Linked DNA regions of Xenopus tropicalis. The protein of the gene in region 1 interacts with the protein of each later gene in a biochemical or structural test. Links are inferred from orthologs where the notes say so. Each region holds a gene or a part of one and is shown on either strand. Other genes may lie near its edges.

What was found. The genes of interacting proteins can lie anywhere in the genome.
Region 2: the proteins of ranbp2 (region 1) and rangap1 form a complex in vitro, tested with the Homo sapiens proteins (5 studies listed by BioGRID and IntAct, with this or other methods). The link is inferred for Xenopus tropicalis from reciprocal best matches to the Homo sapiens genes RANBP2 and RANGAP1.

The regions. Positions count from the first base shown.
Region 1 is NC_030678.2:109,294,892-109,298,578, reverse strand, and holds part of ranbp2 (ranBP2-like and GRIP domain-containing protein 4), read left to right. Parts: intron 1-9; coding exon 10-147; intron 148-359; coding exon 360-506; intron 507-1,466; coding exon 1,467-1,634; intron 1,635-2,495; coding exon 2,496-2,579; intron 2,580-2,887; coding exon 2,888-3,026; intron 3,027-3,687. UniProt on the Homo sapiens protein: E3 SUMO-protein ligase which facilitates SUMO1 and SUMO2 conjugation by UBE2I. Involved in transport factor (Ran-GTP, karyopherin)-mediated protein import via the F-G repeat-containing domain which acts as a docking site for substrates.
Region 2 is NC_030680.2:121,811,114-121,815,333, reverse strand, and holds the start of rangap1 (ran GTPase-activating protein 1), read left to right. Parts: upstream 1-1,287; 5' UTR 1,288-1,315; intron 1,316-1,623; exon of another isoform or gene 1,624-1,857; intron 1,858-3,679; exon of another isoform or gene 3,680-3,717; coding exon of another isoform or gene 3,718-3,734; coding exon 3,735-3,849; intron 3,850-4,135; coding exon 4,136-4,220. UniProt on the Homo sapiens protein: GTPase activator for RAN. Converts cytoplasmic GTP-bound RAN to GDP-bound RAN, which is essential for RAN-mediated nuclear import and export. Mediates dissociation of cargo from nuclear export complexes containing XPO1, RAN and RANBP2 after nuclear export.

The sequences.
Region 1 (3,687 bases):
TTCATTTAGCTTTCTGAAGTAAAAGACTTAGAAGATGACGCATGCCTTGCCTTTGCAACACTGGATTTAGTTGACGGAAAAACAGAGGATGCAATAATAGCATTTGATGCTGTTAAGAACGTTGTTGCCTATTGGAACCTTGCTTTGGTATGTGTTACTACTCTGCATCTTCTGTGTTTAGTTTGACACACTTCTGTTTTACATTAAAATTGCCTATATGTAATTTAATTTTATGAAAAAACTATCACAAGTAGCTGATGAACTGATGTGCTGGCTATAATGAAGCAGATGATATTATCAACACAGTATTGCTTTTAACCTGATGAAATAGAAATCTATTCTTGTAATTTTTTTTGTAGATATACCAGCGTAAGGCCGAAGAAATTGAAAATGATTGTTTGCCAGCAGAAGAACAGGAAGAGTTCCAGGAGTGCCTGCTTAAGTGCAAAGGCTATTTGAAAATGATTTGTGATGAATATAATGCTGATCCTTCCATTGCAACATTGGTAATAAGACAATTTGAATAAAAGGGCTATATGTTGATATTATTTAGATATAATATTATAGTTCTGTCGATAAAGTCTATACTTGCTAGTGTTTATCCATTAGTCCCCTAAATTACCCGGAGAGGCCCATTTATCAACATTCTGATTTTTGTCGTTTTAAGTTTTTTGAAACCACACAAAAAATTTGAGTTTTAGAGCAAGATGTCAACTTTATGGACATTGGTAAATATTAACAAGGCTTTGGCCTTTCTCCATCAAAGTGTTAGATTATCTGTGTGGCTAAAGACACAGAGCTGTTCATACATCCTGTTGGCTGGTCACAATTATAATGACTGAGGTGCTTACTGGTCCTTGTAATACCATAATCCAGCTCTAACTAACTCATTTCTTTGGTGACTTGGCCCAACGGCTAAAGTCTCTGAACAGCTAGTTAAGGTCCACCAATGAAGTAGGCAACTTGCTTAAAGATGACCTTACCAATTGGCATGCAGAACATAGTGTTTTCTGTATATTTGCTGATATTTCTTAACAATTCACACCAAGGTCTTGTTTGTCTTTAATGTGATCTAGAGAATATAGCGCTGAGCACACAACATGGCAGTGAGGCCTAAAGTAGTGTTGTCATGCATATAGAAGGTAAAAATAAGTTAGTTACATTTTCACTAAAATGCTTTCAATGCTGTCTTGTATATTCCAGATAGCTTCCTAAGAAGCTTCAGTAGTGGGTAAATACTGTAATACTTCAGTAGCAGGTAAATACTGTAGTTGTGTTTTAAATCTTTAAAATGGTGGCTGATTATTTAGAGTAGAAGCCAGTCAAGTATATTTATACTTAACATTGTTGTCATAGTACCGATGCCTTTACTGTGTGGAAATAAATATTCTTTGATATTGCTATAGATATTTGCAAGCAGAAATTCACTCTCAATTGTTAAACCGTAATATTTTGTTTTACTACAGTTGCCAGTTCCAGTTGAGACTGTGATTGAGATGCTGGAGTCAGTGAAGCAGAATCTTGGAGAAGCGATGGAAGATCGTAGCCTGGGCTTTGTGGAAAATCATTCAGCAATAAAACATTCCACACCATCACCCTCCAAGCTGTCCATATCGCCCAGCAAACCAACTCGGGTATTTTATTAAAAAAATGCAGCTGAATTTTGATTATCTACCTTTTCTTGTCAATGAATACAGTCTTATTTGCTTCATATAAGTGTATGTAGAAGCCAATGATGAAACAAATTGCTAGAGAAACTGTCCTGTTACTTAATTGCTCAGGATATTTCTTCTGGTGGCTTTGCTGTGGGTGTCAGGGAGAAGTGAGGTAGAGAGCATTGAATTAAGGGTAGTGGCTTTGCACATATGAGTCACATGTTTGCAAGGGATATGCTCATGTCATGGGCTGCAATGCCATTTCATTCATAGCAAGGCACAGAACGATTACACCAACTTTATACTTTGGGCTAACATACCCCTTTAAGAGAAGAGTGAATATATTGCAAAGCTTAATAAACCCAATAATTTATACAGCTAAATTGTATATTAATATGTAGGGTATTGCTGGAGATTTGCAATTAATATCCATAATTAGCTGGCAATTCTGATTAATAACCGAGAACCAGCAGCTGGTTTTGGGTTCCTTTTGTGCCCTTAGATGCCTACAGTTTGTTTAACATTTGTAAACTGTATGCAAAATTACCTCTAAAGTCAGTTTCTTAAAATTCTTTAGAAATAGGGTAAATTAAGGTGGTTTAATTGGTTACAATTTAACTCAAACTACTTATGTACCAGTATGTGATGTTCTTTTAAAGCTTTCATGGCAGCCCAAGGCAACTACAGCCCATTAGCAGTGGAAAATCTGTGCCTCCATAGATGCAAAACTATGCAAAAAAAAATTAGCTGGGAACAGAAAGTATACAATTAAATCCTGATTTTGTCAAACAAGAAGGTAGTGATAATAAAAACTGAACTATTTTATTTTTGTTTTTTTAGTTTTCTCCCAAAACGCCACCACGTTGGGCAGAAGATCAAAAATCTCTACTTGAAGTGCTCTGTAATAAAGTAGAAGCATTGAAGGTAAGGGGAGGTTAACATTTGTTTAATAAAAAGGTAACCAAAGCTTTTACTGTCTAGTGCCACTTAAGGGTGCCTACATGCAATCCTAACATGCTTTGTTCATGCTTGGTGGCCCTAAATTACATTCTACACTTATGTGGCTTTCCTCCAGTCCTGTTGCATAGAACTTATGGTGTTAAGCCTAATAACTTCTATACCTTCAGCTGTCACAGTTTCTGCTTTTTCTACAGCTACCATTCCTGCATTCCATACACATATTTATATGATGTACACTTTTACTTTTAATATTTTGTTATTTTGTCTTAAAGAAAGAAGTTCAAGAGCTGAAACACAACAATTCGAATGCAAACGCTTCCCCTCATAGATGGCCTAATGAAGGATTTGAGCCTGACAGTGTTGCTGATGGCTACCAAGGAACTCAAAGTTTCTATACAGTTCCCCTAACAGGTGAGGCATAACATATTATTCATTATTGTATGCTGCTTGGCAGTGAAAGGCTCCCTGACATTGTTTTGATTTTGAATTAAAGGAAAACTATACTTTCAGAAAGAATACTTAACCAACAGATAATTTATATTATAAGTGCCCTAATAAATAATCTTACCAAATTGCCATGTACATATCTGTACATGTGACCTTTTTACATCTTTTCCCCTTAAAGCTACCATTTTCTGATGTTTTGTGTGCTCTTTCAGTGATCACTTGACAGGAAATAATACAGCTTTATCTAACAACAGAAAGAAATAAGGTGGGGTTGAAATCTTTCACCTGCATGAATTTAAGTTTTGCAGGTGACAAAGGGTCTGGTTATTATCATTAAAGTTTATGATGGAACAGTTGCATGAATTTTGTTCGCCATAGCAGGCATATCCTTACCTTAAGTGCAGTTGAACATGATTGGTACAGGTATGGGAACCCTAATCCAGAATGCTCGGGACCTGGGGTTTACTGGATAAGCGACCTTTCTGTAATTAGGATCTCCTACCTTAAGTCTACTAAAAAAATTATTTAAACAGTAATTAAACACAATAGGATAGTTGTGACTCCAATACGGGTTAATTATATCTTAGTTGGGATCAAGTACATGGTACAGTTTTAATTTTACAGA
Region 2 (4,220 bases), on another chromosome or scaffold:
GTCTGATACCTTCAGATAACTGATGAAGATGTGAAACAGAGATGGGAAACTTTGGCTGCTCTGGAGAACATATTTGGCTGGTCTGGAGAATATGGAGAACATATTTGGCTGCTCTGCCCAGTAATAATTCCCTTCTGGAACCAGGTGAAACAGATATGTGAGATGGTTAGGGGATAAACTGCATAATGTATGTATGTATATCTTTATTTATAAAGCGCTACTTATGTACGCAGCGCTGTACAGTAGAATACATTAATACAAACAGGTGGTTAATAAGATAATAATAGATAAATACAAAGTATAACAATAAATACAAGATAAATACAGCTGCAATAAGTTAGAGTCAAGGACACAAGAGGATGGAGGTCCCTGCCCCGTAGAGCTTACAATCTATATGGGAGGGTAACTTACAGACACAAATAGGCAAATATAAGTGCTGTAGGTCACAGTGGGTGACATTACAGTATAAGTGCCAGTTCCCAGATCAGGTGCTGGGTGAGTGCTCCAAAAGGGAGTCTTTAACCTTAGTTTTAAGCGCTTTTGTCGGATGGTGTTGGATCAGCCAGTACGATTTATGGAAATAATTATGACTACTGGTTCAGCTAATGAAAATACTAGCATAGATTAGAAGTTGTATATGCAAACGTATAAATATTGTTTTATGATAAGCTTGTAAACCTCTTTATATTTATTTTTTTTATTTAACAGGATTTAACACCTTTATGTTTTTTCGGTTCAGCATTTATCAGTGCGTCACTGACAATTCTAGATAAACCATTACTGATCATTAAGTGATTATATAAGCATAGATTTACAATTTCTTCATAAAGAATATCTTCCTGTGATAATTTTACTGTAACTGACATAAAGTTCAATAAATGGGGAATAAAAAAATAAAATGATGACAATTTACTTGGCCCTAGTTTGCGCCTCTCCTTTTTTTTGATCAACTTAGGAGAGAAGGCTTTGATGGCGGCACATTCTGCTAGCAAACAGGAAAGGCTCCTTCTGTACCCTCTCAGCAAAATATATGAACGACTTCTAAAGGAATTGGTAGCTGGGGCGGAGGAAGGCGTGGCGAAAAACCAACACAGAAGACAAGTCTTTTATTTATGCTCTCTAACCGAAGTAGGAGGTGTGGGCAGAGGAAGTACAGAGTTTAATTGCGACATTGTAACACAAAGTTCTGCCGGCCTGTCGCTCCCACTGGGAGACTAATGGGTGAGTCATTGCGCTTCCGCGCAGGCGTGACCAATTCTCGCGAGATTTTGGCGAGAGTAAGAGACCGGCGACTGGGAAGCTGTACTTGCGGACTGTAAGTACCGAGCCGGGGCTGTGTTAGCAAAAGCGGGACTTTGGGCAGTATGATAGCAGTGTAGGGCAAAGACCATGCGGGTTCCCTAACATTTGCCATCCCTACCGAAGCCTGCAGCTCCCTGACAGCCGGGGGGCCGCTCTCCGCAACCCTCGTGGTTTTGGCGGGATGTGTCATTCATAGATTTGCTAGTCCGGCCTCGTCATGTGGGAGGGGGAGGCGAAAGGGCATTGCCCTGGGCTCTAAGCGCCAGTGGGGTCACTTACTTGCTAAAAGGGAAATGTGTAAGTGACTACTAGATACTTTCAGTCATCAGAGGAAAACCTGCTGCTGAGAGTTGTAGTTCAGGCTCAGCTAGAGGGCTGTATCACCCCCCAGTTATGTACCCTCTTGGCCTCTTCAGATTTTCTGCTTCTCTTTAACTGGAGAGTTTAGGATAGGGGTGGCCAAAACGTCGATCACGGTCCACCGGTCGATCCCCCATGGATTTCTGCTGGACCGCGTCTAAGCCGGGAAATGCAGAAGTGCGACGCGTTTATTGGGTATGCGTAGCTACGCTGCGTCGCATACGTACGCGGGGAGGAGTCAAAAGTAGACCGCTGAGGGAAAAAGTCTGGGCACCCCTGGTCTAGGATTTTAAATACTGTCATGTCAGATGCTGACCATGAACATTATGTGATTTAAAAGTGTAATTATTCTAAATAAGTATATTCTTGTAATTATACTTTGCCTTTTCAGTCACGGGGGTAGCTCCCCTATAAAATAACTTGTATAACGTTATGATTTTCATTCATGTTTTCATTTCATTCAGTGTGAAAGCCAGCACTTTACCTGCGGACATACACTCTGCTCTGCTTTGTGGGGCTGCACTGAAGCGGGTTTTGTAGTTTTTAGTGCAGGCACGTAGGAAAGTGGATCCCCTTCACTTAGTCTGATGGAAAAACGCAGAGCTGAGAGAAGCGCATCTACGCTTCGTGTGGCCTAGTCCTAACAACTGCATAGATGTGTGAATGAGAACCTGAATAGGAGATGGCCTGAATAGATAAGTAATAATTGTAGCATTAGGGTGAACACAGACGGAGCTACTAGTAGCAGCTACTTGTCATGGCTACTAAAACAGACAATGCTGATCATTTACTGAGAACAGTCTCTACGTGTGTTTTAGCAGAGGCAATTATCAGTATTGTCTATGGCAGGGTATTTTTCTGGCTTTTAGTAGCAATTAAAAAGCTGCTACTAGTAGCTTCACCCTTAGGACTGAATAGTCACGCCGTGACATCCTGGTGGGATGGCCGAAGTCACTGAAGTCTCCTCTCAAGGCGACTTCACCAGATTGCGTTGCCACGTATGCCATCCCACTGGCGAATTACATTCTAGCTGGTGGGATGGCATTGCGGGGAGATTAGTCGCCCACAAAAAGGGAGATTTGTCACGGCGCAACTAATCTCCCTGTGATTCACAGCCCTTACTGCTATTTTTTATCACTAACCCTCTTTGAAAGTTGTAAGGTGCGGAGGCAAAAGGAAGCTATAAAATGTAGACACTGTAAATAGATAAAAATGACACTGTACTATAGTTAGCTTAATGGCAAACTGCCCCCCCCCCCAAAGCCAGAAAATCAATTCATGTTAAGGTTTCTTTTGTTTATTGATTATTATATTATGTACTTCCGGTAGTTACGTTACAAGGTTATTAGAAGTCACCTTGGTTCCATATAAAATCACAAGACAGAAGGTAGCTTTATTATATTTTATAATACAAGAGTTTTGGTGGATTTTGTGACACAAATACTTCACTAAACATACAAACTTAATATAACTAATGGCATCAGTAAGCACCATTTGCAAGGATATATTTTACAGGACATCCACAGATTATATGGCTGAAAATTTCTGAGTTTTACTTCTCAATTGAGAAAGCCAGTCAGATGACTAGCGAAAATTCAATATATACCGTGACCTGGATGAATGAGAACCTTCACAGATACCTTTTCTGAATTTATTCCCATAGAATATATTCTGTGGGATTGAGTTGGGGTAAGGCAGGGCATGCACAGTAGTGGATTCTTATACTGCCTTTCTCTTCCACATTGGCACTTGTGTTCGTTTGCAGCTTTGATGCATGCACAGTTCACTTTGATGATTGATATACTTTTCATGCACCCACACAAGGAACACTCAGGAAATAAATAATCATAAGGGAGAACGTTAAATTATATTTTCTTTGAAGAAGCATTTTTTTTATAAGAACAGGATAGCAGGGTGGCTGGACAGCATTTGTAATGGGGCTTGTTCTCCACCCCAATTTATTTTAAGATCATGACATTGTTAAAATAATCTTAGGGATGTGTTACCTGTTCAACAGGTTCTCGGTTATACTTCTTATTTCTCTGGTTTATTAAGAGAGAAAAAGTGTGACAATGGCTTCTGAAGATATTGCGCAGTTGACAGATTCCCTGGCAAAGACAAAGGTGGAGGGAGGAGGAGAGCTAAGCTTTAAAGGGAAAAGCCTGAAACTCAACACTGCCCAGGATGGTGAGACTATATATGTATTTGATACATTTATTTACCTTATCTAACACTATTTATGTGCATAAAGCAAGCTTTATGCACTACTATTTTACTATCCGAATACGTGGATGATACACCCATCTTAAGTGTAAGTTTTTATTTATACTGAATAATATAAAAAAGAGCTGAATAAGTAAGGCAGGGAAGTAGTAAATATTTAAATGTAAATATGTGGCTGAAACAAGAGTAACTTTTAGTATTTGGGCTCCTTTATAATGGCAGTTTGTTTTTTAAACAAATTAATATTTAGCTGAAGAAGTGATTCGGGAAATTGAAGATTTTGAAGGGCTGCATGCTCTGCGGCTGGAAGGCAACACTGTGGGACTGGAGGCAGC